Schizosaccharomyces pombe: one gene and its partners. The gene in region 1 interacts genetically with each later gene. Each region holds a gene or a part of one and is shown in the gene's direction. Other genes may lie near its edges. The genes, in order: dnf2, php5, hel2 and pso2.

Region 1 (9,596 bases):
AATGAAGTACAGGATGGCATATTACAATTAATTAGAGAATGTACAAAACAATGCTCAAACTAATAAATCTCTTTTTTTAACGAGGGAAAAGGGAGATGCAAATGTACAGAACTTTTAAAAACAAAAACTTTTGAAAGCAAACGATGTTACCAAAAAACAAGGGTGCGTGAGCAGAAGGAGTGAGAAACCCGCCAAATATAAATGTGTAAAGACTCGATGAAATAAATCAAAAAGGAAGCAACTTGGTTGGACGAAGAAATAGCCTTTGGCGCAACGCGGATACCGAGAAACCAAAGTATAATATTCTCAACAAACTTGAGAATGCTGAAAATTCAGTGTTTTGAAAGAAAAAAAAAAGTAAAATATACAACTAAAGGCTTTCTAAAACATAAGATTAAAAGGAATTAGAAAGAGAGAATTGAAAACCTTCAAGAAGAAATTTTTAGGTTGCTAGAGAACGGGATGCGTTTGTCAAGAATTCGCTCAATTAAAAAAAGGCGCCGGTTTTTTTTTCACTCTTCCACCAGTAAGAAGAGCGCTAATTGCGCAGCCCGCAAAATTTGTAGCGAAGTTTGCTTTGACTTGCGTTGATAAGCCCAACTATCTCACGTTCCTTATCTTGTGCACAACGATATTTCGTTAAAATACTATAAGTAGTATACGGGACAATGTCAAAATGTGCAAAAACTGTATAAGGTATCATTGAATTCGGTAACCTATTTAACGGGACTTTCGAATGTGTAACAAAATATAGTGAAATATAATTATAATACCTAAAGTAGGATTGCACGTTGCTAAATTCAACATTTACGATGTATCGTTGGAATCCAGCAACTTTAACCAAGCTATAAGTTTAGAGTATGTTTGTTAACTACATGTCAACAGAGGTGGGAATTATAAAAGAACTCAAAGCAATTTTGGAACGGCGATTGCTGCAAACTAGATTAGTCATTGTATTTTCTAATAAAATCTTTGAACCAAATTTTTAAATACAAAAGCTTTAATTGCTGATTGATATTTAACCCCCTATTTGAGTTCGCATATGGTACAAATGTCCATGTGTTGGAGCAATTCCTCAACGAAATGAGACGCAGACATACATGCAATGTTTTGTGATTGTATGCAAACATTGTCGTTATGCCTTTGGAATTGTTTACGCGTTAGTCGCGAAAATTATTCTCTAGTACTAGGAAAATTGCTTATCGTCACAATTTTTTTATTGCCAGTGTGAAATGACAGTTTTCTAATAAATTTCATTGATTTATTGAACCCATATGTTAGCAACTCTCTTTTCCCGAGAAGGAACTGCACAGCCAGTACTAGATGGACAAGTCACCGCGACAACTGGGAAAAGAGTGGCTTGAATAGTCACGGTTTGACTGAATAATTTTCGCGCTTTTCATTGAGAGTCACGTGAACGCTACATTAGTCGCCATTTAATTTTTATTTGTTACCATGTTTTAACGGATAAAGGTCCATTGTTGTTTCTCCAAATTGGGTTTGTCTCAACATACGGATGTATTAGGGCGACCATTTGTTGATGCACTGAGCACCAATTTCATTCGGCCTACACATTCTCTTTGTTTACTTTTTGGAACTAATTATACGTTGGTCTCTTTGCGTTTCGGTAATGTTTTGTTTATGCTGGTAACATTTTATAATGTTGAAATTGTCAAATACTCTGTACATTAAAGACTTGATTTCGAAATTCATCTTAAAAGATCAAACCTAGATTCGCGGATTGTTTACAGTTTCATCTTAACCGCACATTCGCATCCACCAGCAATTATCTACACGTGATTTTATGTTTCCGTGAATTTAAAAGATCTAGTAAAATGTAACAATGATGGATAGCAACAAATTCGATTTCATTAAAATCATAGGAGAGCATTCAGTCACGTAAAACTCGCACCCACTATCATTTAACTAGCCATGCGCTAATCTTAAGTGAAGCAAGTTCACTAATAACAACCGTAATAATCTATTACTATGCTCTAAGCAACAATTTGCTTGCTATTTAGCAAATGAATACTACTGTTCTTTTACCGATTTGCAACGGCAGCCACGTCTGCGCCACTACATTACCGCTATCGGTCAGTTAACGAGAACGTATATACAGTTTCTTATGGCGTTTAAACCATCTACATTCATCTGCATTATACAAAATAAAATCGAAAAATTCAAGCCGAATGTAATGTTTTCGGCTGTAAAGAGTGCGCCAATAGTGCAAACCTTTTCTTGTCCTAAAACTCTTGGTTCAATGGGAACGCGTAAGTATTTAGCAGTTAGTAAGTAAACGGATTTTGCTACTTCAAAAGAAAACAATGCAACCATGACGTTGATATTTTGGAATAACGGGATAGGAATGAGCAAGTTGTTTTGCAACTCTATGTTACTTAACGAAGCATAGGTGTTACTTTGAAGGGTTGCGAAAGTCTGACCACAACCCAACACAGTTTTTACAAAATTCGTTTCAATTCTTTGATTCTGCTGTAAAAAATAGGTTGAGAGCGTTTTTATTATACGCCAAGTAAATTTTTTCGAAAAATCCTCTTTTCGACGCTTACTCTTTTCTTAGTACTAGGAGGCTGCACATAAAGCTTCCTTTGTTATCTTAGTCTCAGAAAAAGGGCGTTCTTTTTATTTTACATTTTCGTTGCGTCTCCATATTATCCCATCAAATATTGGTACACGCCTTTTATTTTCATTTTATATCATCTTTTTATTTTATTTTATTTTTCATTTCACGTTATTTACAAGCACATCGTTTTACTATTCGGTTGGGGCATCGTTGATAGATTTTTGTGTTCTCGGTATTTGTAACATCCTCTTATCCGTACCTTTTCCAACACATAATCCCCACATATCTTACATTTAGAAAGCCTATATAAATTATATCTTCATTTGTTTAGGGCCGTCCCTCTGCATTTGACTCTTGGCTTTAATTTAGTTTTCTCCTCATTGACTACAGACCACTCTCCTTGAGGTCGGATGGAAAGTGTTGAGGAAAAATCAAAGCAAAGGCGCTGGCTTCCCAATTTTAAGGCTTTACGGCTCAAAGTCTACCGTTTAGCTGATCGTCTGAATATTCCTCTTGCTGATGCCGCTAGAGTAGAGTTAGAAGAATATGATGGCTCAGATCCACAATCTTTAAGAGGCCTTCAAAAGCTTCCAAGGACTCTTTACTTTGGATTACCATTACCAGATTCGGAGCTTGACGATACTGGTGAAGCCAAGCGTTGGTTTCCTCGTAACAAAATTCGTACTGCTAAGTACACCCCCATTGACTTTATTCCAAAAAATATTTTTTTACAATTTCAGAATGTTGCAAATCTTTTTTTCTTGTTTTTAGTTATTTTACAGGTATGCTTTCTTATTCTCATCACGATTGAAATCACCAATTATCTTGGTTCATTTTTTTCTTTACTAACGTTTTATGTAGTCTATTTCCATATTCGGTGAACAAGTAAATCCTGGATTGGCTGCTGTTCCTTTAATTGTTGTTGTCGGTATTACCGCTGTTAAAGACGCTATTGAAGATTTTCGCCGAACCATGCTTGATATTCATTTAAATAACACCCCTACCCTTCGTTTAAGCCATTATCAAAACCCAAACATTCGTACTGAATACATCAGCTACTTTAGACGATTCAAAAAACGGATCTCCGCTCTTTTTCGCGTATTTCTAGCAAAGCAGGAGGAAAAGAAGAGAGCAAAGCGTTTGAATGACGCTGTACCTTTGGAAGATATGGCAGGTTCTGAATCAAGACCTAGTTATGATTCTATTTTCAGAGAGTCTTTTGAGGCAAAACGATCGTTTGAAGATTCAAAGGGCAAAGTCCCCTTAAGTGCTTTAGATGGGACTGCAACTATTCTCCAATCGCGTCCCATGGATATTATTGATTATGAAGCCGAAGCTACTGGCGAGTGCCATTTCAAAAAAACATACTGGAAGGATGTCCGTGTAGGTGATTTTGTAAAAGTTATGGATAATGATGAAATTCCCGCAGATATAGTCATCATTAATTCATCCGACCCTGAAGGTATTTGTTACATTGAAACCAAGAATCTTGATGGTGAAACCAACTTAAAAATGCGTCACGCTCTAACGTGCGGAAAGAATGTAGTTGACGAGGCCTCATGCGAGAGATGTCGTTTTTGGATAGAGAGTGAACCACCACACGCTAACCTTTATGAGTATAATGGAGCATGTAAGTCCTTTGTCCATTCTGAAGCAGGTGGCTCTGATACCTCCCAAACTGTTTCAGAGCCCATCAGTCTGGACTCAATGCTATTGCGTGGTTGTGTCCTTAGGAATACAAAATGGGTGATTGGAGTTGTCGTATTTACTGGCGATGATACCAAGATTATGCTGAACTCTGGTGCTCCGCCATTAAAGCGTAGTCGCATTACTAGAAATCTTAATTGGAATGTTTATCTTAATTTCATTATCCTTTTCTCCATGTGTTTTGTTTGCGCAGTTGTCGAAGGAATCGCCTGGCGTGGTCATTCTCGCTCCTCGTATTACTTTGAGTTTGGTTCCATTGGTGGTTCTCCTGCCAAAGATGGTGTCGTCACGTTTTTCACTGGTGTTATTCTTTTTCAAAACTTGGTGCCCATTTCGCTTTATATTTCAATTGAAATCGTTAAGACCATCCAGGCAATTTTTATATATTTCGACAAAGACATGTATTATAAGAAGCTAAAGTATGCTTGTACTCCAAAATCTTGGAATATTTCTGACGATCTTGGACAAGTGGAATATATCTTTTCTGATAAAACAGGTACTCTTACTCAAAATGTTATGGAATTTAAAAAATGTACGATCAACGGAGTTGCGTATGGTGAGGCATTTACCGAAGCAATGGCGGGAATGGCAAAACGCGAGGGAAAGGATACTGAAGAATTGACTCTTCAAAAGCAAAGTTTCATTGAACGTGACCGAATGCAAATGATTTCTCAAATGCGAAATATGCACGACAACAAATACCTTGTGGATGATAACCTCACGTTCATCTCGTCGCAGTTTGTTCATGACCTTGCTGGCAAAGCTGGTGAAGAACAGTCACTTGCATGCTATGAGTTTTTCTTGGCATTGGCCCTTTGTCATAGCGTAGTTGCAGACAGAGTTGGTGACCGGATTGTCTATAAAGCACAATCGCCAGATGAAGCTGCACTCGTGGGTACCGCCCGCGACGTTGGCTTTGTTTTTTTGGACCAGCGGAGAGACATTATGGTTACTCGTGCTCTTGGAGAAACCCAAAGATTCAAATTGATGGATACTATTGAATTCAGCTCAGCGAGGAAGAGAATGAGTGTGATCGTTAAAGGACCCGATAACCGTTATGTGCTTATTTGCAAAGGTGCTGATAGCATTATTTTCGAACGTTTGGAACCAAATGAACAAGTTGAATTACGTAAAACCACTTCTGAGCATCTCAGAATTTTTGCATTGGAAGGTTTACGAACACTTTGTATCGCAAAAAGAGAGCTTACTGAAGAGGAATATTACGAATGGAAAGAAAAGTATGACATCGCCGCATCTGCAATTGAAAACCGTGAGGAGCAAATAGAGGAAGTTGCCGATTTGATTGAATCTCATCTTACTTTGCTCGGTGGAACAGCTATTGAGGATCGATTACAAGAAGGAGTACCTGATTCAATTGCATTATTGGCTCAAGCCGGTATCAAATTGTGGGTTCTGACCGGAGACAAAATGGAGACTGCTATTAATATTGGTTTTTCTTGCAATTTATTGGACGCTGGCATGGACATGATTAAGTTTGATGTGGACCAAGAAGTGTCAACACCAGAGTTGGAAGTTATTTTAGCTGACTACTTATATCGTTATTTTGGTTTGTCTGGATCAGTTGAAGAACTTGAAGCTGCTAAGAAGGATCATGACACTCCCTCTGGCTCTCATGCGTTAGTTATTGATGGATCAGTACTTAAACGAGTTTTAGATGGTCCAATGAGAACCAAGTTTCTGCTACTTTGTAAAAGATGCAAGGCTGTCTTGTGTTGCCGTGTTAGTCCGGCTCAAAAAGCAGATGTTGTTCAATTGGTACGCGAAAGCCTTGAAGTAATGACGTTAGCCATTGGAGATGGTGCGAATGATGTTGCAATGATTCAAAAAGCTGATATTGGTGTTGGTATTGTTGGTGAAGAAGGCCGTGCTGCAGCTATGTCTGCGGATTATGCAATCGGTCAATTCCGATTTTTGAGCAAGCTGGTTCTTGTTCATGGCCGTTGGGATTATAATCGTGTTGCTGAAATGGTAAACAACTTTTTCTACAAGAGTGTTGTATGGACATTTACTTTATTCTGGTATCAGATTTACAACAATTTCGACGCAAATTACCTTTTCGATTATACTTATGTTATGCTGTTTAACTTGATTTTTTCATCGTTACCTGTCATTGTCATGGGTGTCTATGATCAAGATGTTAATGCTGATTTGTCGCTTCGGATCCCTCAGCTTTACAAGCGTGGTATTTTGCAATTAAATTCAGCCAGGAAAATCTTTATTGGATATATGCTTGATGGGTTTTATCAGTCTGTAATCTGTTTCTTTTTCTCTTTTCTTGTGATTAACAATGTGACCACAGCTGCTCAGAATGGTCGTGATACTATGGCTGTACAAGATTTAGGTGTTTACGTTGCTGCGCCAACTATTATGGTTGTCGACACGTATGTTATTCTGAATCAATCAAATTGGGATGTGTTTTCAATTGGTTTATGGGCGCTCAGTTGTTTGACATTTTGGTTTTGGACTGGCGTCTACTCTCAAAGCCTTTATACATATGAATTTTATAAATCTGCTTCGCGTATATTCAGAACTCCAAATTTTTGGGCTGTTTTATGTGGAACGATTGTAAGTTGTCTTTTCCCGAAGTTTTTGTTTATGACAACGCAAAAGTTATTTTGGCCATATGATGTGGATATCATTCGCGAAAGTTACCGCACTAAACGCCTTCATGAATTGGATGAAGAAGAGGAGATTGAGAATGCCGAACAATCTCCAGATTGGGCATCTTCTACTTTACAGGTCCCTTTCAACGCATCTTCGTCAAGTTTGGCGACACCCAAGAAAGAACCTTTACGTTTGGACACAAATTCGCTTACACTCACATCAAGTATGCCAAGAAGCTTTACCCCGTCATATACTCCAAGTTTCTTGGAGGGCTCTCCTGTGTTCTCTGATGAAATACTTAACAGAGGCGAATACATGCCTCATCGTGGTTCCATTTCTTCTTCTGAACAGCCGTTACGGCCTTAAAAAATGGCAAGTTAATAAGCTGAATTATCTAATCAAGATAATCTGTGTACCCATTCTATTTCTACGCTATGCTTAAGAACATAACTTTTCATACTAAAGAATGATGAATTATCGAATAATGATTATGATGTTATAGAAACATCTCTGCATACTAAATAAAATACATGAACGTTTACATTTTTCTTCTGAAATCAAAAGATTGCATCAAATTTAAAATGTATTTTGCATTCACAGTACATTTTAAAAATAACGAGATAAATTTACTATATCTAGTTTACATTTGTATGATAAATAATAAAAACAGACTTTTTAACAATCTTGTTCTAAGTAGTAAATTTGGTGGTTGGTTTTTTAAGTTTTGAAATTTCCAGCGACTGCTGTAATCAAACTTTGGTTGCTAAGGGTAAATGGCTGATACCTAACTCCGATGGAAATGTACTCTGCCGTAAACAAAACACGTAAGGTTATTATTGACAGGAGTTTTGCATTTTTTGGGGACCAAAACGTTGGATGTTTACGATACATATTTAAAGAAAACTAATAATGAATCGTGTTAATGATATGTCACCAGTTGAAGGTGATTTAGGACTTCAGCTAAGTTCTGAAGCAGATAAGAAATTTGATGCATATATGAAGCGACATGGTCTTTTTGAACCCGGCAACTTGTCGAATAATGATAAAGAAAGGAATTTGGAGGATCAATTTAATAGTATGAAGCTTTCCCCAGTGGCATCTTCGAAGGAAAATTATCCTGACAATCATATGCATTCAAAACACATTAGTAAGTTACCGATTGCAAGCCCTATTCCGCGTGGTCTTGATAGATCTGGCGAGTTGAGCTACAAGGATAATAATCATTGGTCAGATAGAAGTTCAACGGGTTCACCAAGATGGGAAAATGGATCTATGAACTTGTCAGTTGAAGAAATGGAGAAAGTGGTCCAACCTAAGGTAAAGAGAATGGCAACCATTTGTCAAATGTTCTTTTTAGACCATTACTTTGAGCAGCTTCATTATCTTTATACCCGCAAGCAAAGAGCCCGTCTTTTTGAAGAGCAGTTGCTTAAAGAGCCTGATTCACGAAGAGACGAGCTAGTGAAGCGATACAATGGACGTGAACGAGTATATCTAAGGAAAAGGAGGACACGCATTAGTCACGGAGATTTCCAGACCATCACTCAAGTCGGACAAGGTGGATATGGCTCTGTTTGGTTGGCTAGGAAGCGTGACACCAAAGAGATTGTTGCTTTGAAAATCATGAATAAATCGGTTTTGCATAAAATGGATGAGATCAGGCATGTTCTTACTGAGCGTGATATCCTTACGACAGCCAACTCGGAATGGTTAGTTCGTCTACTTTATGCTTTTCAGGATACTTCAAACATTTATCTCGCTATGGAATTTGTTCCTGGTGGTGATTTCCGTACTTTGCTTAGCAACAGTGGTGTTTTAAGGGATCATCATGCCAAGTTTTATGCTACAGAAATGTTCCTAGCTATTGATGCTTTGCATCAACTTGGTTACATCCATCGTGACCTTAAGCCAGAAAACTTTTTGGTTGGAGCTAGCGGCCATATTAAATTGACGGACTTTGGTTTAAGTTCTGGAATAATCAGCAAAAAGAAGATTGAAAGTATGAAGATTCGTCTTCAAGAAGTCAACAATGTCGTTGTTCCCGAAAGGAGCATGAGGGAAAGGCGACAAGTGTTTCGAACTCTTTTATCTCAGGATCCTGTATACGCTCATTCAGTAGTTGGCTCTCCTGATTATATGGCCCCAGAGGTTTTACGAGGTGAAAACTACAACCACTCTGTAGACTATTGGTCTCTTGGCTGCATCATGTATGAATGTCTTTCTGGTTTTCCTCCATTTTCTGGCTCCAATGTTAATGAAACCTGGTCTAACTTGAAGAATTGGCGCAAGTGTTTTCAACGCCCTCACTATGATGATCCCCGCGATTTGGAATTCAACTGGAGAGATGATGCATGGGATTTTGTATGTCACTGCATTACTGATCCCAAGGATCGCTTTTGTTCTCTTAAGCAAGTCATGCAACATCCTTACTTCTCAAAGATTGATTGGAAAAATGTTCGTACAGCATATCGTCCTCCGTTTGTACCCGACCTTAATTCTGAGATTGACGCAGGATATTTTGATGATTTCACTAATGAAAATGATATGTCTAAATATAAGGAAGTTCATGAGAAACAAGCTGCAATTGCTAATATGGTTAACACATTTAATAAGCCTAAACGCAATGCTTTTATCGGCTTCACTTTTAGGCATCAAAAAAATAGTCATCCTACTAGCTCTAGTA
Region 2 (7,364 bases), on another chromosome or scaffold:
ACTCGTTTCTCTGAAACAGCTTTCTGGATTTCGGAAACTAATAGCTTTAACAATCTCTTTCTAGGTCTATCCAAACCGCTTGCATCTGTTTCATTCATCCACTTTGTAGAATAATTAAAGGAAGGAGCAAAGAAAACTGCACTTGATAGGGCAAACAGTTCTCTCAATTCTTTGATAGTAAACGAGACAGAAAATATGTTTCTTCTTCCTACAATGTGTAATCTTTTTAAATTGCTTCTTTCAAGTGATTTGAGGAACAATGGATTAATGTCAGTTGGGGATAATTGAGCAGGATTACTTAAAAGGATTCGAGCTACATCAAGTGAAACATTACCATGTCCAATAACTACTGCATCCTCTACCTGACTTAAATCCAACTCAAGATTTTGATTTCTGGGATCACTGTTATACCAACCCACCACTTCTCGCGCACTATAAACACCTGACAAGTCCTCCCCTGGAATTCCCAGTCTCTTGTCCCCAGCAGCTCCATAGGCAAGGACCAAACAATCATAATTTTTAGTCAAATCCCGTAAAGAAACATCAGTCCCAACGTTTACGTTACCAAGGAAGCGAAATTGTGTAGACTCAGCAATTTCGGAAAACTTGTGTTCTACATGCTACAATAGAGGTTAGCTGTATAATAAATTTAATAAGATCCATTTTTAAACCAATCAATATTTCTTGGCTTAACAGACTTACCTTAACTTCTGGATGATCTGGGGCAACTCCATAACGTACAAGCCCAAATGGAACTGGGCGGGATTCAAACATATCTATTTTGACATTTGGGTCATTTCGTAAGAGTCTGTGGGCTGTGTAAAAAGCAGCCGGCCCAGAACCGATGATGCCGACTACAGGTGAAGAAGTTTGAGTGCTATATGTTCTTTTAATGAATCGTGATAGCATCCTTTCTTAGCCTTAAGATGAAAGAAAAACAAAAAATGATTGAAATGAAGAAGTGAAGGATATCTTCGTGATTGTAAATCTGATATAAAACTAGCAGCAATTATCATTAACAACTGGACTCTCCTCAAAACGAAAAGAAAAGCTACCAATGCTTAATAAAACTGATTCATTAGTTTTAAAGCTTTAAATGTTTAATCTCAATAAACTGTTTGGTGACACCTATACAACTAGTGAATTTTATAGCATTGGATGAGTGGTCAGGTTCAAGCAGCCAAGCCTTTTGAGAGCAAAGCATTTATATGATAAGATCAGTCAGTATTTAGAAAAAGGAAATTTCTTATTAAATCAAAGGTAATTACAAACAGGAAAGTTGAATCAAACGCTACAACAGAACTTTTGCTGATCGTTGCTTACGATATTACCAGCAACAAACATCTCATATAGTAAAGTGCAAACCTTCAAATAAGTGTTTTATGTTGTTATTATGAGTGACTTAAGCAGCTTCAAACTGATTTCTGCAATGATTTTTTTATGATATTTCAAATAACTAGTTAGATGATTGTGGCTCAAATGGTTAATTTGAAAACGATATATTTAAATTTCTTAAAAATAATTAATCTCTGCTTATTCAATCATACTTATTTATAAAGATGCTAAACCTAGCTACTTGAAAGTGTTTTCTAATTCCTACTATTATAATGATAAAACAAAAAATAAGAATTTATTACATTCAAAATAATTCTATTTATAAAGGTCAATTACTCTTTCACGTTTAAAGAACTGTTGTAAGACCAACAAATTGTAACGCGGTAAGCTTTATCTTTGCGAGGACTTTAAAAAGGCGTAAGATTCAATTAACAAGGATGTATTTTAATGTAATTCCTGGATTGAAGTCAATTACTATACGTATTTTCTATTCTGTTTGCTTTAATTACTGAATAATATTTGCACATGCTATTGTTTATAGTATTATATCTACTACCGCGAAAACATTAATTATGTATATCAAATAATGAATATTTACGTGTCGTTAAAGTGTTTTAGCAATTGTAGAAACAAAGTATGTGGTACTATAAACCGGTTCCATCAATAAGTTGTGTGACAGCCAACCATCTTCTGCCAGCCACCAATAAATTCAATCGTACCGATTTTCGCTATATTGAGTGTTTTTGCACTCTATATACTTAATTAAGCCAGGTGTAATACGCTACATAGATAATTCAAGACACTTCGACGAGTTAAGGTGCTTTACTAGTGTTCTTTATTGAAGTTCTTTGTTTTAAGAAGTTAATGTGTTAGAGATACGTTAGTAACTGCACTTGTTGCTTTGTCTTACTCATTCTACGAGTTTTTCGTGAATTAAGACGATTGGTATTTATCTTTTTAGATATTGCAACTAAGCCTCGTGTTTAGCCGTTCGTGTTCCTTTCGATTGTAAAACTTTTTATTTTTTTCTTTCCGTTCCACTCTTCAACTTGACGTCAATTTGTTTTACTTCCCTGTTTCGTCTCCTGCTCACCTCTCATATAAGTTTAATTCCCCATTTTACCGGAGACTACTCCGCTCCCTTTCTATTTTATTTCTACTTATCTTGGTTACGATTTTGTTAAGCTGTACATCAAGGTATTGGAAGTTTTCTTTAATCCGCATCTTTATCGCCTCTTAATATTTAGATTTTCGATTTGAAATTCTTTAGCTTAAATTATTGTCAGTTTCTTTAACAGCTTTGTTTTTAGGAAACTGGTATTTGTTAGATCCCGGCATAGTTACAATTTTTGTCATTGTCGTTTTTTTAAACCTGTCACCAGTGAGATTGCATTGATCTCTTATCTAATTGGCAAAGGCCTTTACGTTTCCAGTTTTCTTTTTAAACTAAATTGCCTTTCTGTAGACTTTTTTTCGTTTTTCAATTAAGATTCATTGCAAAATGAATTCTATTCCTGATTCCTATTCCTTGAAACAAGGCTTTCCCGAAGGTTTAGGAGAATATGTTGATCCCTCTGGCAATCCTAATTCTCAGGTACGGATAGGTTATGGTCAAGATTCTGTTTCTCGCTTCCAACAACCAGTCCCCGATGTTGATCCAACTGCTGTCAATCACTACAACGCTAGTGCACCCATTGAGGTTGCTAGTCCATTTGATAATGTTACTCAAGGTCTTGTTGGCAGTGATGCACAAGCCCTTGCTGAATATTGGCAAAAAACCATCGATACATTGGAACATGACGATCAAGCTGTAAAAACTCTGCATCTTCCCTTAGCTCGTATTAAGGTATGCCACTTTTTCTGAATTAATTACTAACTATTGATTATGCAGAAAGTTATGAAAACTGACGATGATGTGAAGGTACGTTACTTTGAGTATTCGAATACTTTTTGACATTAACTTTTACTAATTTTTTTAGAATAAAATGATCTCGGCAGAAGCTCCTTTTCTGTTCGCTAAAGGAAGTGAGATATTTATTGCAGAGCTTACTATGAGGGCTTGGCTTCATGCCAAAAAAAATCAACGAAGGACACTACAAAGATCCGATATTGCAAATGCAGTATCAAAATCTGAAATGTATGATTTCTTAATTGATATTATATCTAAAGATAACAATAATTCCCGCGCATCTTCCAGTCAAGCTCATATGTCTGCTACTCAAGTTGCTGCTATGGGTGGTATGAATGGTTTACAACCTTTCCCCACTCAAGCTGGCTTACCCAATCAAGGGTTTCCAATGCCAACTGGTAGTCAACTTCCATTTTCAAATCAACAGTCAAGTCAGCCTTCAATGCAGTATTCCTCTCATCCATCCAGAATGCAGCAAATGCAAGATATTGATCAATCTATGTATAAACAGCAGCGTCTGGGCTCTGAATATCCACAACTACAAATGTCAGATAACTCCGGAAATGTTAACCAGATGAATATGCAAAGACCGGTCATGGTAGCACCGTACATGGCTGAGCATTTATACCGTTATCCACCTACGCATCTCGAATCTGGATCCTCAGCTTTCCGATTGCAGTCATCCCCTATGGGATATCAAATGCCCCAATTTCAAGGTAATATGCGACCTAATATGCAACAGTCTCAAATGTTTGATCCTTCTGCATATGGTATGTCAAGAAGACCTGGATCTCCTCGGCAATTCGATCAGCAACAGAGACTTTATTCACAGCCAAACGCTATGATGTATCAAACTCAGCAAGGGCGTCAGGGAAACCCAATGCATCAGCAGTTTTCCCAGCAACAAAACCCTCTTTCTCGCTATTCGCAACAACCCCAGTAATATCTTTTAATACCTGTTGATTTAGAACATGCAATTTAAATAATTTCTATTAAATTATTTGGGAGGATCCAACAGTGATGCATTTTTAGGTGGAACTTTCAATTTGTCAATTTTCGGTTTATCTACAAAAGCTTAAAGAAACAGTTGATTTTCATGACATGCTATGTCTAGTCATTGTTACTTTTTTTAAGCTATGTGTGGTTTTATTTTTTTAGCAAGACCGAAAAAGAAATGACGGAAGCTTTTCATATTTGCTGCCTCTTTATTTTCCCATTGCGGGACTGCTAGTGTAGAGTATTTTGTTTTACTTAAACATATATATGCATTTGAAATTCATTGTCGATAACATTCTACCTATTATGGATATTTACGGGTTGTCAATGTAAATAAATGATGGCATGTTGCAATCGGTTACCAAGAAGCAATTAGCTTTAAACAACGTTTAGGTTTACTTTATAATTAAATTTATTCGTATATGTACTTGAAAATTTGCACTTTTGATGATTTTTTAATTTAAAATCTCATAAATTTTAACTTCTATGTAAAAAGGTATTTAGGCTCATTATGCAAGGAAATTACAGCTGCTTTCATTCCCGACTGCATAAAAAACCACCATTCCACGGCCACCATACTCGAGGTAAAAATGAGTACGGCGGTGCGAGGCAGTTTAATTTACTCCTTCACCAGAACTACGCAGTTGATTATGAACAACAGATAGGCAGAAAGAGGAGAAACAAATTATTCTTATACTAAAGCTTAGAATTCTTTAATCTACCCCCAAACAACAACGAATGGCATCTACTAGCTTTTAAGCAACTTCTGTTCTGCAGAAAAAAACTACGTAAAAAAAGTTGCTAAAACTATCAGTTGCGACATCGCTGCTAACAAATTATCGACTAAACTTGTCGATAATAACGAATTCCCCTAGTAAGCCAAACATAACATTGAGAGGAAACGTAACGATTAAATATTAATTCAAAAAATGGTCCATGTGACTGCTTTTTTAACCGATTCGAGATAATCAGTTTTCATCAATTTAGACGACGATTTCGGCCATCAGAAATAAATCTGTGGATAAAAAGGAACCCCTTATATATCGCTAAAACCGTGACGACAAAACAGAAGTCTTTGGTTTACCACTTGTCCTTAACTGACTGCCTCTTTCATTTTCAACATCAAAATGCCTTCCATCTTATTACTTGGTTCGGGATTTGTCGCTCATCCTACTTTAGAATATTTATCTCGTCGTAAAGAAAATAATATAACCGTAGCATGCAGAACTCTTTCTAAGGCTGAAGCATTTATTAATGGTATCCCAAACAGCAAAGCCATTGCTTTGGATGTCAATGATGAAGCAGCTCTTGAGAAAGCTGTTTCCGAACATGATCTTACCATCAGCTTGATTCCTTACACTTATCATGCAACAGTTATGAAAGCTGCCATTAAGCATGGTAAACACGTTTGTACCACCAGTTATGTGAATCCCAAAATGGCTGAGTTGGAGGAAGCTGCCATCAAGGCTGGTTCTATTTGTATGAACGAAATCGGCGTCGATCCCGGTATTGATCATTTATATGCTATCAAGACCATTGAAGAGGTTCATAAAGCTGGCGGTAAGATTAAGTCTTTCTTGTCTTATTGTGGAGGTCTTCCCGCTCCCGAGGACTCCAACAATCCTTTAGGATACAAGTTTTCTTGGTCTTCTCGTGGTGTTTTGTTGGCTCTTCGCAACTCTGCCAAGTTTTATGAAAACGGCAAACTTGTTGAAATTGACGGCAAGGATTTGATGGAAACTGCTAAACCCTATTTCATCTATCCCGGTTACGCTTTCGTTTGTTATCCTAATCGTGATTCCACTGTCTACCAAGAGCGCTATCAAATACCTGAAGCAGAAACTATCATTCGCGGTACTTTACGTTACCAAGGATTTCCCGAGTTTATTCATTGTTTGGTTGATATGGGATTTTTGGATGAGACAGCTCAGGAATACTTATCTCCTGAAGCACCCGCTTTGCCTTGGAAGGAGGTTACTGCTCGTGTCATCAAGGCTGAATCTTCCTCCGAAGCCGACCTAATCAAGAAAATTTCTTCCATCCACAAATTCAAAGATGAAGACGACAAGAAGCGCATTTTGAATGGTTTGAAGTGGCTTGGTATGTTCTCTAGCAAACCCGTTACTCCTCGTGGTAATCCTTTGGACACCTTATGCGCTACCTTGGAGGAACTTATGCAATACGAAGAAGGTGAACGTGATATGTTAATCCTTCAACACAAGTTTGAAGTTGAAACCAAAGAAGGAAAACGCCAAACTCGTACTTGCACTTTGCTTGACTACGGTGTTCCTAATGGCTACACCTCTATGGCAAAATTAGTCGGCGTTCCTTGTGGTGTTGCTACTCAGCAAATTCTTGATGGTGTTATTAACACCCCAGGTGTTTTGGCTCCTAATGATATGAAGCTTTGCGGTCCATTGATTGATACACTTGCCAAAGAAGGTATTCGATTGGAGGAAGAAATTATTGACGAAGAGTAAGCATGTTTCACGCTTTGGTTCCAAACTCTTATATATAAGTTTGACATTTTAGAACACCAAAGCTTCTTCATTTTCTATAATTATTCGTAATCTTAGAGTTCGTCAACCTTTTTTTTGGCAATTTATCTACATGTTCATAAGTATAAATGTTCAGTTTGTTTTGCAACCTTATTTATGTGAAGCTTTACTTGGGGTTTTCGTATTTTCTAAGTAGATGTATTTAGTCTTAGGTAACCGACGTAAAACTCGAAGAAAAAATAACCTCTTCTCGATTATTTGAACAAACAACTCGAGGACCTTTTGACTGAGTGTTTCGTCTGTAGCATTTAGCTATTCAAAGAATTTTTGACATACTGAACTATTAACAAATCGTAATCTCGCTTCTTTAAGCCATATACGTTACTAAATTTCTGGGTCATACAAATCTCGTGTTTTTATTTCGCATTCTCTAAATTCCGTAATTCGCCTAAATGTCAACAAACTAAAAGAGCTTTCACATATCAACAACTTACTGTTTTTAATAGCTTCCTGTTCTGATGCATCTAATTTCCACCAAACTATTTCCAATCCATAATAAGTTGCTAAGGCAAAAAGCGTCACTTTACCAAGAGGTCTAGCGTAGTTTTTATAAAACATAATCTTTA
Region 3 (6,361 bases), on another chromosome or scaffold:
CTTTACCGTAATCTATATCCACTACCACCGTCTCACTACACCATACTTTGACCAACACAGTAAGGTGGTAGTATAAAGAACTAGAACGATGGAAGAGTACGAAACAGACATTAAGCAAATTCTCGGTACAGTTGATCGCCAAACTGTATCTGCGAAGCAAGTTCGTCAACTTTTAGAAGAAAGAAGAAAGGTAGATTTGAGTGCGCATAAAAAAGACTTGAATGCGCTGATTTTGAAATGCTTTGATGAAACCGCCGCACCTTCAGAGAAGGAGAGTTTAGGTAAGATGAGAATATTGCTGGAAGAAATTTGCAAATAATAATGCAAGAAATAATAATTAACCAAACTTGTAGAAAAACAAGCACCCGCTCGCAAAACCAAGGGTAAGAGAGCGACGGAAAATGGCACTGAAGAAGGCAAGAAACCAGCAAAGAGAACCCGAAAACGCAAGGAAGATGGAGAAGAGGGTGGAAAACGCAAGAGGAACCAAGATCCTGCCAACAATCCTCTGAATAAGCCTATGAAGTTGTCCCCTAAGTTGGCCGAATTTTTGGGTCTTGAACAGGTAAGGCGGTGTTGTAGTGTGGAAGCCGTGCCTACTCGTTCCATTCAAAATCTTGTTGTTTTGAAAAAAGAGGCAGGCTTACATACTAAATGTTTATTTGCACGCTTTCTCTGCTGATTGCTAACTAACGTAGTTATCTCGTCCCCAAACTGTGAAGAAGTTATGGGAGTATATAAAAGCACATGACTTACAAGATCCCAACGACAAGCGAACAATTCTTTGTGATGACAAATTGAAAAGCGTTTTCGAAGTCGACACTTTGCATATGTTTACCATGAACAAGGTAAGTTAATCATGGATGGGTTCACAATTGTTTTAAGGAGGTTTGTCAACAAACTTTTACTTTGTCGATTGTAACTTTCCTTGTCTACTTTTTTCATTTGGTTACTTGTGGAAAACATTCCGCATTGCTCTTTGTTACCTGCTGCCGAAGCTAAGCTAACTTAATTAATAGTACTTAACAAATCTCATGACGAAGATTCCTGATGATCAATTGCCCAAACCTCAGCCTAAAAATGAAGAACCAGCGGCTCCGAACGATCTTCCCAAGCAGGAGGAAAAAGAGTTGGTCGAGCCTCCTACCGCCGAATCCACCGCTTGAGCCTTTGTGTTTGCTGCATGACCATATAAAACAGCCAAAACTTTTTTTCATATAATATCTTGCAATAATCCCTTTTTTTTTTGTCTCCAAAAATCATTCAAGTTTTTTGCTTTCATTGCATGCAATAAATGTTTATTTCGTTCAATACTCGCTTGCTTACCTGTTTTTCCTCAACAGATTTTGCCTATGTCCATGTCATATCCGTGCTTTAATACTAGAGGCTATGTATGTCTAGAGAGTCTCCACGCATAATCAGATATCGTATTTTGCATTACAACTTTCTGATCTTAAATGCAGTGTGAAAACAAAAGTTCAGGTTGCTGACTTTAGACCTTGGGTTGCTACAAGAGGTAATTTACGTTAGACTGACTGTGATTTTACGAATATTTCTTATCACCTATTCCTTATGGATATCTTTGTGCTTTTTTTTATAAATTCATATAGCATATTGATTTTCTTTTCTAAATGAACTGTTGTGCATGATGGAGATTTTCATGTATTGTATTAACACTTTCTTCACCGCACCTTTAATTATTTTACCGCTGCTTTGCTCTATAATATCATTGAAATAAAAAATGATTCACTTCAGCCCATTGTCGGGGAATTTTGTTTACGAAACCACCGTCGCTTGGAGCTGTCGAAGCCATATCATCAATAATAAATTTTATTTACTACCCTTGCGTATTACAAACCCATAATATGATGTTTGCTTTACAGTTTTGGATGATCTAAGATATGGCTTGGTTGTATGACTAGTACTCGTCTTGTGTCTATAGTGTATATATTAAATTATACGCAAATGGATGTTTTCTGGATATATGCTTTTAAGTCTCAAATAATGTACTGTCTTTTTAATTTGTTTATTATTTTATTTTGGGATTTTCTTTGGGGTTGCAAACCTGTCATCCGTTTGTTAGAGTATGTTTACATAAACATTTTTGTGTGCTTGTGGGTCGTTTTTTTTTTGGAAGATTGCTGCTTATAACCGTCAAAAGACTTATAAATTGATTAGACTGAGTGGAAAGTGTTCTTCTCTTTTATATTAGTCCTTAATGAATATACTTATTATTGATTGAATCATTTCATGGTGTTTACGACTTCTAAAGATCCAATCACACTTTAGATGAAGCCACATTTAACAGTTGTAACAATTGCATTTATTTGTAGACAGGACAACGCTTGCTTACATACATACACGACTTCTTGTTTAAGCACAAAGTAAAAAGATTATGGCGAAAAAGTTAGGGGAATATTTTTTTCAAAACAAATTAGTAAATTATATAAGCCCTTTATAAGAGATTGCTATTTACTTCCGCTGTACATTCAATGCTATATACGTTTCTAACAAAATATTCGATGCACGTTTCAAAAATCAATTCAGAAGCTTAAAAACTTTCCAATAATGTTGAAATTATAAATATATTCTTAGTTTGCGATATTCCAGCTAATTCAGAGGTCTCCAGCTAAACTGTTTTTTTTAGCATACAGCAGCTCGCTTTACGAAATTTTATTTACCCAGCGCCATACACGCAATCTTCTATAAACAATCAAAATGTCGCCTTCGGGCCCCAATTTAAATAATAAGGAGCACAACAGAGCATCGGAAAAAAAGAATTCTAGGACTCATAATAAAAAAACTAATAGGAATCGTACGTAACTTCCTTGTTGACATATTCCTTTTAACACATTTCAAGAAAGTAAAGAGAAACCGGTAAGCTCTAGGTCGGTAGAAACTCCAAAAAATGCAGTTTGCTTAGAGCCGGTTGGCACAGATCCTGTCAGTAATGTCGCTACTGTTGATGCTTCCAAAGAAGAACAGGATGAGGATGAGCAAATTTGCTTCATTTGTGCTGAAGGTATTACTTACAGCTGCGTCCTTCCTTGCAATCATCGTATGTCTTGTATCATGTTTTAAAAATGTTACAACTATGTTTAATCTAACTTAATTAGGAATGTGTCATGTTTGTGCTTTGAGATTGCGAGCGCTATACAAAACGAAGGAATGTACGTTTTGTAAAACCGAATGGGATACGGTTCTCATTACTAAAGATCATGAAATCGATATTCATGATGTCGATTTAGCAAAACTTCCTTTCCAAGATGAGAAACTTGGAATTGTGTATTCTGACGAGCATGCTCAAGAAGAATCCAACCTCTTGCTTCAATTCAACTGTCCAGAAGACGCTTGCGATATCACATGCAAAGGCTGGTTTGATTTAAAGCTGCATGCGAAGGTCAAACACCATAAGTTTTTCTGTGATCTTTGTGTTAAGAACAAAAAGGTTTTTACCCATGAACACACGCTATTTTCCAAGAAAGGATTGACAAAGCACAATGAAGTTGGAGATCAGGGATCCGATTTAGAGATTACTGGATTCAAGGGTCACCCGAAGTGTGAGTTTTGTAATACCCATTTTTATGATGATGATGAGTTGTTTAAGCATTGCCGTGAAAAACATGAACGATGTTACATCTGTGACCAAGTTGCAGGAAGGCCGACGCATCAGTACTTTAAAAATTATGATTCGTTAGAGCGCCACTTTGAAAAAGATCATTATATTTGTCGTGAAAGGGAGTGTTTGGAACGTAAATTTGTTGTTTTTGGAACTGAAATAGATTTGAAAGCGCATCAGTTGGATGAGCATCCCCACAACTTTACTCAACGCGAACTTCGAGAAGCACGAAGAATTATTCCTCAATTTAGTTACGACCCACCCGGCGCGTCCGGCAGGAACCGTCGTGAACGAACTTCTTCCACACCATCCGAACAATCTACTTCAGTGAATGAGACTGCCAACTCACTCTCTAACCTACACCTTTCCCGTGGAGAGATTGCTCACTTACGACAAGAAGAATATGTTCGCGAGCAACAAGCTCGCCATCGTGATTTTGGTTTCACGTTATCAAATCCGGCGCCTACATCTGCCCGCCCAGCGACATCTACTAGAACCATCAGCAGAGGAAAAACTAGAACGTTAAGAAACGAAGATTTCCCCTCTTTAGCCGAGGTTGCTAATCAAAATAGCTCTTCCGCACCCTCAGTACCTGTCTCCGCGCCTCGTCTGTCTGGTAAGTCTGCTTCAAGAAATCATGTTCCATCTCCACCCAAGGGCACTAAATCCCCGATGGCCTCTTCCGAGCAAGCACAACACCAACAAGTAATTGATCGGATGCAAAAATTGACGAATTACGATGATCACAAAATTAATGACTTTAAATTTGCTGTTTCTTCCTTCCGTGGTAATGTTATGCCCGCTCGTGAAGCTGTTGCTCGCATTACAAAATTAGTTGCAAAGCCTCATGAGCAATTGTCGGGCGTGTTCAACCAAATAGCAAATCTTCTAGAAAATAAAGAGAAGTCAAGGGAATTGTTGGAAGCTTGGCAGGAATGGAAAATACTGAATGCGAAAGATGATACTCGTATAGGTACTACTAACTCTAATCTTTTGCGCTTGAAGAGATCAAATAGGACTGCTGCTCAAACAGCTAGTGTTTGGAATCGTATTGAGCGTGCAGCAGCTCACGATGGGCCTTCTTTGTCTGCTCCATCATCTTCTATAAACCTAGCAAATATTACCTCAAGGCCAACGAACAGCTCAGCTGCAAATACTCCTTCTTGGGGTGTGCGCAAAGCACGTGCATCTGCGTTAAATGCAAGATCTGAAGAAGATTTTCCCGCACTTCCTCCTTCTACCTCGAAGAGAATTTCTGTTCAACTCGGAAAAAAGCAGGCTCGTCCCGTTGATTCATGGGGGTCTACACCAAATACTTCTTCCAATCGTAATAGTAATACGATGGGTGTTTCAAAGAAAAAAAACGGAAAAAAGCAAACTGTTTTGTTTCACATTGGTTGATTTTGGTTTATTGTATATAATAATTTTATTGATGGATGGGCATTTCGTTAATATATAATAATTTTGGGATGTACTCATTTATAATCTAGCACTTTATACCTTTTACCTGACTGTTGGGTTGTTTATCTGACCTCATAAAAGAAAGTGTCGTTTTGGAAAAATTAGCATTACATTGAGGGTCCTCCGCTAATGCTCCTGCGAAAAATGATTTTAATTTTGGATGTTTTTTCAGAAATAAAATGAAAATTAGCTTGATATAATATCAACCGGCAGCGAGTAATAGATTTAAAATAAATTTGATTAATTAAAAAAATTTGTTGTTTTAAGCAAGCCATTTTGCTAAAATCAAAGGTAATGGAAGAGTATTTCCGAAAAATCTCAACACATGTGAATGATCAGAAAATTATCGCCATAAAAGACAGAATAAGTCATCAGCGGTTGTTTCATTTCCTATATTTTTTTTTTATTTTTTTATTTTTTAATAAGGGAAAATTTAACGTCTAAGGATACAGAAGATTGTTAGCACATTAAAGTAATAAAGGCTTAAGTAGTAAGTGCCTTAGCATGTTATTGTATTTCAAAGGACATAATCTAAAATAATAACAATATCATTTCTCACAAGTTATTCAATTTTCTTTTTTTTTTCTAATAATATCAAGAATGTATTATTTGTTTGACATAAGTCAACTAATTTATTTAATATGCTGGATTAATCTTGCAGACATGTAAATTAACAAGTTTTAGTCAAATAACGTTGAAGTTTCAATGAACTCAAATAATTTCTCTTTTTTTTTATATAACCATATGTCTAATCTGATTTATATTTTCCGCAGGGATCAACTGAAGTTATGACATTTGGATTGGATCACTTATAACCTTGGTCGCCAAATAATACAAAAATCAGCGTTATAAAACAAAGAAGGTTTTTGTTAAGAAATTAATCCTCTTTCTTGATAAGAAAGTTGAACCGAAATTGCAGATACTGATATATGAAAATAATACCCACAATTTTGGGAATAGCGCAAGCCTCAATTTAAACAATAGGTGAGGACACATGATAATGACCTCAATGATTGTTAGAAGAAAAGAGCCTCATTACAAAATCGAAAAATGAATGGTTGGGTACAAGTTTCCAAAACATGGTAAAGTGGACTTTGCGTATGAGACGTAAATAGAAAAAAACACTTGTTATATGTTTTCTAGAATTATTGTTGTCTCTTTATGGTTGGATGATGCAAAATAGTAATTTCGGTTAGTTGCTGTAAAACACCACGAGACAAATAGATATGGATATTTATTAAATCAGGAAAAACGTAACTCTCGGCTACTGGATGGTTCAGT
Region 4 (7,746 bases), 930 kb from region 1:
GAGTAAAGATAGAAAATAGTTTAATCAATTAAAAACATCAACGAAAGTCTACTTAAAAAATAATGGTGGTTAAATAAATCATATTGACCCTAATACCTATACCCAAGTTGTGAACTAAGTCTGACGTTCCAAGCAAAACCCATATTATAAAGTGATGAACAATAAAGTAAAAATAAGATATATTTACACGAAACATTGAAGACACAAGGATAAACACAAGCAGTTTATTCACTGTCCACCATCGATAGCAAAAAATCTAACAAACCAAAAAATAGATAAACTAATTCTCACGCCATTGAAATTTGCATTTGGTACAACGATAAAAGGTACTCATAGGTTCATCTGCACTACGAATTTGAAGTTGGAAGAAGTAAGCACGATTATTGTCACATTTTGTGTTTTCACAAGTGACTTCGGTTTGCTGATTAGATTCAAAAGCTTCTTCTCCACCTAATACATCGTCAACTTCCTTTTGGGCAAATTCGTGACGACTGTAGAGAAAAGTAGAAATTGGAAAATGATAAGGACATGTTCTACAGTCGAACGCATTCCTTCCTTCCTCGTCAACCGCGACAATTAAGTGATTTCCACAAGTAGGACAAAACTGCATTATGAAAGCTCAAGTAATAATAAAGTGATGAGCCCTCTTAGTGGTTTACTCCATATGTTATAATTTTGCAAACTAAATTGGTTGTTTACAATGTCATGACTTTAAAAGTAAATTATTAACCGACAACTTCATAATCTACGCTATTTTTGTTTTGTGAAATTTTACGAAAATGTCAATATATTTGTTAAAATATAAACGTAAGGATGTAGCTGTAACTCTTCATTAGTTTTGCATTTCAAGAAAGTAAATCGCTCACAGAATAAAAAGACGAAGAAAATTTTTGTTTTCTTCTTTCATTCATTTAATTACATCAAATTGTATTTTTCTTGACCGAATTTTATCTAATGACCATTCAAAATATAAGGAAATATACATATTATGCCCTAAAGTACGTTATGTTCGTAGACATGTGACTGCTTTTTTTGAGAACAAACATGCTCCTATGCCGAAACAAAACTTCTCTCATACCAGCAGCAATTTGCAGAAATGGTTCGTCAATCTGTTCTCGCTGATTGTTTAAACAATATCGTCAACGCTGAGCGCCGTGGACGTCGCCAAGTGCTCATCCGTCCTTCCTCTAAGGTTATCGTCAAGTTTTTGACTGTCATGCAAAAGCATGGCTACATTGACGAATTCACGGAAATTGACGACCACCGTTCTGGCAAAATTGTTATCCAGTTGAATGGTCGTATTAACAAGTGCGGTGTTATCTCTCCCCGTTTCAACGTTAAGCTTAAGGATATTGAGAAGTGGGTCAACCAACTTTTGCCCTCTCGTCAAGTCGGTGTCATTGTTTTGACCACCTCTCGCGGTATCATGTCCCACAACGAAGCTCGTGCTAAGGACGCTGGTGGAAAGATTCTTGGTTTCTTCTATTAAACTCAGTTATCTTTCCTTTCAACTGAAAAATAAATAAGCCCTTCTTTGTTATTTCAATTTGCGCTGTAGTTACTGTAAGACTGTTCGTATTTTTTAACATTCCATTAAAGAGTGTAAAAAAGGTAGTAGAGGAATTAGTAAAAATGGTGCTTAAAGCCACTTGAATATTTTTGCTTTCAGAGTTGGAAATCGAATGTAGGGTAAACTTTCTTGTTGTACTGACTAATTTGCTAACAGAAGCTGTTACTTTTACGTTTCAATAAATGTAAACTTTTATATTCAATTTTTATGTATCTCATAATTTCCGTAATATAATCGATCTTAGATATGAAGAAAAAGTATGCATATCTACATAGTTGATCCTGAGAGGTAAGACATCTTCCCGTATTGCAGAGAAGACCCCTAATTAGATTATTTTAAAATAGTTGAACCTATTTCATAAATGTGCACTTTTCTACTGTTCCCATTATCAACATCAATTTTAAAACTTAACAAACACGACAGCTGAAGAAAGCAAAAGTAAATAATGTCGGTATAATTCTAGCATTTAAATTAATTAAAACATCATTAATGAATACAGTTGACATCGTCAACTTTTTTATTTATAAACAAATCGAGATGTATAATATGTACAATTCTAGAGAAAAATGGCGGCAAAGTTACTTTACGCATTTCTTAACTCTTTAAATTTATGTTTGCGTAAATTTGAAAGAATAATGTATTTAAATCATATTCTTCTTCCAATTATTAAATTACGATACTTTAATTAGTTGATTGCCATTAAGCTAGAGGTGCGAAACTTTGATTTTGCTACTCTTACCAAACTCACATTCAATGAAGAAAAGCCATTCACTCCCACCACTGAATTATTTCTCCCAATAAACCATCAAAATGGAAGAAGTAGTTCATTATTTCCTGGAAGGGAATATGCCGGTGGCACAGTTTCGAGAAGCATTAGCTTTGCATTATACAAATGAAAAAGAGCTATTTGAGCAAGCGAAGAGATGTTTAAATATTTGTTGCGGCAGCAACAACTTTGCAAAACGGAACGACGTTTTGTTTTCTTTACTTGATGTTGCAGTTAGCATTTCGTCTCTTGAGTTACGGAAAGAGTTAATATCTGAATTATATGTTCCAGTACAGTCGTTAGAGGAGGCACCTTCAGAATATTTGGTTTCCTGTTGTTTACAATTAGCCACTATTTATGAAGCTGAGCAAAATTTTGAGCTTTTATGTTCTTCATTGGAAGCTGTCGAAAAACATGGTCATTTTGAAAACGACCTAGAGCAACTCTTGTTATTAAGAATTCGTTTAGGAGATGCTTATTTAAAGTTAGGAAAAGCTGAAAAAGCAATTTTAACCGTAAGGACAAGTATACCATTGGCATTTAAAGTTAGTAATGATCAATTGCTAATGGAACTTCAACTTTGCAATGCTCGCGCTCTCGATGAAACAGGACAATTCCTAGAAGCTGCGAAATGTTACTATCGGGTACTTCAATATAAAGTACCTGGAAATGAACTAATTTATAGAGAGAACTTGTGTTCAGTAGCTCAATGTTTACTTCTAGCGATTCCTTCTCCTATTGTTTTGCAGTTCCTCCAAGAAATCTCTCTCCAACCATCCGTCCGAGAAATCCCGTTTTATTCTCTAGTCGAAAAGTACCTTAAAAGAAAGTTTATCGGAAAAGAGGACGGAGCCTTTCTGTTGCCTTTTCTACTTCCTCACCAAGTAATTCATATGAATAGATTGATAGAGGATGGTCGACATTTTTTGGAAACGAATATCCTTTTTCTTTCAGAGTTTTTTGAAGTTTCTTCTACATCTATACTTGCAAAACACTTTAAACTTTCTGAGGAACAGGTTGATACAGTTGTTGCTGATATGGTGATACAAGAACGATTGAATGCTTCAATCGATCAATGTGAAGGATACATTACTTTTTTGCCAGAGTATGGAAAAGCAAACAATCTTCCTAATTATGTTAATAAAATTGCAACCGTTCTTCAACATTACGGTTCTTAGACCAAATGTGAAAAAAAAAACTGTTTTATAGTTCATCTATTTTATTCATTTAAAATAATATTTATTGTATAATGTCATAGAAATATTGACGTTCTTATTTGTATCTTTTTCACCTCGTGGTCGCTAATGTTTGTTTACATTATAAGTAACTTCCCTCTCTGCCTGTTCTTATATTATTTACATGTGCTTGTAACTCCAATTCGCAGTACCAATTGGTAATGGAGCAATTTGAGATAATCAGAGAATCGGATGCTGATCCTTACTACTTTAATAAAAATCTTCGACTAGAAGAATGCGAAATTGACGGGTTTACATCAATTTATAAAGCTCCACCTCCATATTCTTTTGTCGCTGGTCTAAGTAAAAATACTTCTTCTAACAGTTTTGTAATCCACAAATGTCTTCCACCTTTGCAAAGGAACAATACAATTAGAAAAAGAAAGCGAAATCCTTTTCTAGCTGACAGACCTTATTGTATCAACAGTGAGGACATGCCTTTAAGTGATGACCGAGATATGTTAAAGGAACGACACGTCAAATCGCGAAAACTTTTATTAAAGGAAAAAGGAAATCGTTTTTACCGTAGAAGTTGATTTTTATAATTATTACCACCTGTTTCTAACTGTTTGTCTTAAAACTCCTTCGCATGTTGATGATTTGTTTTAAGGAGCTTGAGCGAAGACTACTTTATGCTTGCCAAGAGGGTTTTTTTTAAGTGTTTTGCCTTGAACTGTGCAATTGCAAGGCTTTTCAGTAACAGGCCTTATTGCCATTGTAGGCCATTAAGAAAGTAAAAGGAAAAAAAATTAAAATCATTAAGGAACGCTAAGCTGCAGTGAAAGTATATTTCTCACTAGCTTCTCCAAATCGAAGTTTTTTGTAAATAAAACGCATTTTCGTGAATAATCGATGCTTTTTTTTTAAGGTGTTTTTTTCTTTTTTTTTCATTACTTCAATTTTCAGTTATTACCCTTCCTTAGGTATACTTCTTTTTTTTACATTTTAGACCAGATCCTGACCGACCAATTTTGGATCATCCAGCGTCACATAATAATTCATCCATAACACTTTTTAATACTTTGAAATTTATAGTTAGAGGTAAAGTTTCTAAATCTGTTTCCTTTGTTTTTTCGTTTTGATCTTTCAAAGGCATACCTAATATTCTACGACTTCTCATACACATTGTACATTAGAAAAAGTCGCTCTTGACGTCTACTCGCCGTTTCCTTAACTTCAAGACTTCTTTTAAGCGATTCTTGCGGATTTATCGTGTCTTTCCTCGAATAATAGCTTTCATTATTAAGCTAAACGAAACTTTACAACTTTTGAAATAACTTCCTTTAAAAGAATTCAATCACTTACTGTTGTTGCTTATACACCAAAAAACAAAAAACTAATAATTTTGCCTTTGTTTACGTTCACTGAAATGAGTAAACGAAAGTCATCGTCTATTTTAGATTTTTTTAAAAAATCTAATAATGGCAAAAACATGTGGGGTAATGAAGCTGTTTCTGTTGAAAAAACTGATTCCACCACCAAGCCCTCTACAGTAAAAAATGCAATTTCAAGTTCCCAAATAAAAAATGAGAAATTCTCACAGGAAGTCTTATTACAATTCAATGATCCAAGTTTCACTTCTGAAGTGGGTGAGTCTCCTCAATGGCAATCTTTTGGGGATGCTAACATCTTAGAACCTTTAAAAAATGAGCTGGTTAAAAACGAGGAGTCAACCATGTCTGAATTGCTTCTTTGTCCAATATGTGGAATAACTTTGGAGTCTTTAACTGTCGATGCCAATATACATGTCAATGACTGCCTAGACGGGAGAACAACGGAAGCTGTTTCAAAAAAGCTGAAGAAAGACTCTGTCGTTAAAGCCGATCCTTCGAATTCGAGTACATTCCCAATATCTGATTCCTGTAAACAGGCGTTATTACCTTTACCTGGAAAGCAAATTAATGTTCGGTCTGTTGTTCCTTTCTATAAATTAATGCCTTATAATATTCCTTTTGCCGTTGACGCATTTGCTTACGGTGCCATTGATGGTGTTGAAGCTTATTTTTTGTCACACTTTCATTCTGATCACTATGGCGGTTTAACTCCAAAATGGAAGCACGGTCCTATTTACTGTTCAGAAGTAACAGGAAATCTTTTAATAAATGTCATGCATGTTGATGAACAATATGTGAAGCGTCTCAAACTAAATCAACCATATAATATAATGGGTATTACTGTATATGTTTTGGATGCTAATCATTGTCCAGGATCAGCTATGTTTGTTTTTGAAACGCTTCAGAGTAATCAAACAAGACGTGTTCTTCACTGTGGAGATTTCCGCGCTTCTAAGGATCACGTTATGCATCCTGTTTTACGAGAGAAGACCATTCATAAAGTTTATTTGGACACTACATACTTGAATCCTAAATATACTTTTCCACCCCAAGCGGATGTTGTTCAAGCTTGCGCCGACAAAGCAATATCTATCAAGAAGTCAACAGATTCTAGGCTTTTGGTAGTAGTTAGCACTTATAGCATCGGGAAAGAAAAAGTAGCCGTTGCTATTGCAAAATCTCTTTCTTCACGGATTTATGTGGTTCCTCGAAAAATGCATATTATTAAACAACTTGAAAATCAAGATTTAATAGATTTATTAACGGATGATCCTACGCAAGCTTCCGTACATATGGTCACTATGATGGGAATACATCCGAATTCGCTTCTTGACTATTTGGAACAATACAATAGTTCCTTTGATAAGATCATAGGGTACAAAGTTACTGGCTGGACATTTCAACCCTTGGAAAATCGTGCACAACTTAGCAGTAGCTTAGACTCGATAATTTCCAGACCACCGAAATTTGTGGAATACGATTTAAGAGCGATTAGAGGAAGCACCGACAAAGTGGCAGCTTTTGTAGCCCCTTACAGTGAACACTCGAGCTTTTATGATTTAACTATGTTTTGTCTGTCGATGAACATTGGACATATTATCCCAACTGTAAATGTGGGTAGTCAACGGTCTCGTGAAAAGATGAATGTATGGCTAGATCGTTGGGCTTGGCGCCGAAAGAAACAAGGCCTACTTTCATTGGAAAATGTGGATTGGTAAACCAAAATCTACCACAATAATTTTCCTTTCTGTTTCTTTTAGGGTTATACGAGCTTGTCTGTAGCTATTATTTATGGTTCTTATAATTAATGTTAATGTGAGCAAAATGTTTTTGTATGTATGCTTTACTATGCCAATCCTTTATCCTTCTATATTTTATTTTTTTTTTTAGTTTCAGGAGTGCTAATACAAGATTATACAAAAAAATGACACCAAAGTGTAGGTGTATATTCATTTAAATCAAACTATGAGCTTGCAAATAATCCAAAACTTTTAAACTTTCTTTGAGCTTCGTTTTTTTATGATCGAATACTTAACATTAGTTCATTTAGGCTAATTTTCTATTTTTTTTAATTATAATAATAGAGCAATCTACAACGAATTGTCATCAAATAAACACCTTTCATTATAAAACACATCATCAATTTTTTTTCTAATTTTTTTGTAATAGCATTCGCCATTGATGAACGATGAACCTTAGTATAAAAAATTCTCATAAAACATTGCCCCGAGAGTTGAAACATCATAGGCGAAGGAGCTCAAGATTCAAATTTCCACTACAGAGAAACAACGAAAATAATTTAATGGAAAAAAAATCAAGCTACTCATAAATAACCAAAAAAAAATTCCAACAGTCCAGCAAAGGGTGTTAAGAGAGAAGAAAAATAAAATAAAATAAAAAAATATATAACAAAATTATAAAAAGTAATAACAAAAAGACAGTAAAAAATGATTGAAATATGAAATATTGTTGGGATTTATGGAAGCCTAGTCAACAAAAGACTGACTAAAACAAAGTTATTGTAGTTGAATACAGATAAAGATATGAAATTATCAATAAATAATTTCTTCCCAATGAATCTATAGGTAATTAATACCCGTAATTAACAGATTTAGCAAGTCATAAAATTCTCCCACTCCAAAAGGTGGCATAAAATAAACTAGGATCCAAAATAAATAGCAACATAACTTTGATAATAGCAGTATAGAAATTTGATATCCAATATAACTCAAAGATGGAAAGCATGAATGCCTATCAGTCCAGAGTATATATGAATTATGCGATGAGTCTTGATGTTGTTCGTTTCAAACAAAACAAAATATCGAAAAAAAATAGTTAAAA

The links.
Region 2: mutations in dnf2 (region 1) and php5 together harm fitness less than expected from each alone (positive genetic interaction), as found in Schizosaccharomyces pombe (one large-scale study listed by BioGRID).
Region 3: mutations in dnf2 (region 1) and hel2 together harm fitness less than expected from each alone (positive genetic interaction), as found in Schizosaccharomyces pombe (one large-scale study listed by BioGRID).
Region 4: mutations in dnf2 (region 1) and pso2 impair growth when combined (synthetic growth defect), as found in Schizosaccharomyces pombe (one large-scale study listed by BioGRID).

Annotation. Positions count from the first base shown.
Region 1 is NC_003424.3:222,079-231,674, reverse strand, and holds dnf2 (phospholipid-transporting ATPase), read left to right. Parts: upstream 1-2,438; 5' UTR 2,439-2,991; coding exon 2,992-3,363; intron 3,364-3,442; coding exon 3,443-7,279; 3' UTR 7,280-7,595; downstream 7,596-9,596. Other genes in the region: hem3 (hydroxymethylbilane synthase), read right to left, coding at 1-20; SPOM_SPAC24B11.14 (uncharacterized protein), read right to left, coding at 539-845, 876-932, 994-1,130; serine/threonine protein kinase (NDR family) Sid2, read left to right, coding at 7,823-9,596. UniProt on the Schizosaccharomyces pombe protein: Catalytic component of a P4-ATPase flippase complex which catalyzes the hydrolysis of ATP coupled to the transport of glucosylceramide, phosphatidylcholine, phosphatidylethanolamine, and small amounts of phosphatidylserine from the lumenal to the cytosolic leaflet of the cell membrane and ensures the maintenance of asymmetric distribution of phospholipids.
Region 2 is NC_003423.3:3,391,173-3,398,536, reverse strand, and holds php5 (CCAAT-binding factor complex histone fold subunit Php5), read left to right. Parts: upstream 1-2,030; 5' UTR 2,031-2,836; coding exon 2,837-3,181; exon of another isoform or gene 3,182-3,226; coding exon 3,227-3,256; exon of another isoform or gene 3,257-3,314; coding exon 3,315-4,187; 3' UTR 4,188-4,633; downstream 4,634-7,364. Other genes in the region: mitochondrial [2Fe-2S] cluster assembly NADPH-ferredoxin reductase Arh1, read right to left, coding at 1-620, 703-909; lys9 (saccharopine dehydrogenase), read left to right, coding at 5,368-6,720; mitochondrial F1-FO ATP synthase peripheral stalk assembly factor Ina17, read right to left, coding at 7,155-7,186, 7,233-7,359. UniProt on the Schizosaccharomyces pombe protein: Component of the CCAAT-bound heteromer, php5 is essential for DNA-binding activity. It is essential for transcription activation of cyc1. It is the linchpin that binds to the subunit association domains (SAD) of php2 and php3 to bring these proteins together.
Region 3 is NC_003421.2:1,831,895-1,838,255, forward strand, and holds hel2 (ubiquitin-protein ligase E3), read left to right. Parts: upstream 1-2,679; 5' UTR 2,680-2,718; coding exon 2,719-2,815; intron 2,816-2,860; coding exon 2,861-3,058; intron 3,059-3,116; coding exon 3,117-5,020; 3' UTR 5,021-5,570; downstream 5,571-6,361. Other genes in the region: RNA polymerase I upstream activation factor complex subunit Spp27, read left to right, coding at 89-281, 354-565, 699-848, 1,020-1,166. UniProt on the Schizosaccharomyces pombe protein: E3 ubiquitin-protein ligase that plays a key role in the ribosome quality control (RQC), a pathway that takes place when a ribosome has stalled during translation, leading to degradation of nascent peptide chains.
Region 4 is NC_003424.3:1,155,987-1,163,732, reverse strand, and holds pso2 (DNA 5' exonuclease), read left to right. Parts: upstream 1-4,250; 5' UTR 4,251-4,940; coding exon 4,941-6,623; 3' UTR 6,624-7,246; downstream 7,247-7,746. Other genes in the region: DNA-directed RNA polymerase III complex subunit Rpc11, read right to left, coding at 281-610; rps2201 (40S ribosomal protein uS8), read left to right, coding at 1,097-1,489; COP9/signalosome complex subunit Csn4, read left to right, coding at 2,381-3,514; protein mug103, read left to right, coding at 3,733-4,107. UniProt on the Schizosaccharomyces pombe protein: Required for DNA interstrand cross-link repair. This requires cleavage of cross-linked DNA to generate DNA double strand breaks (DSBs).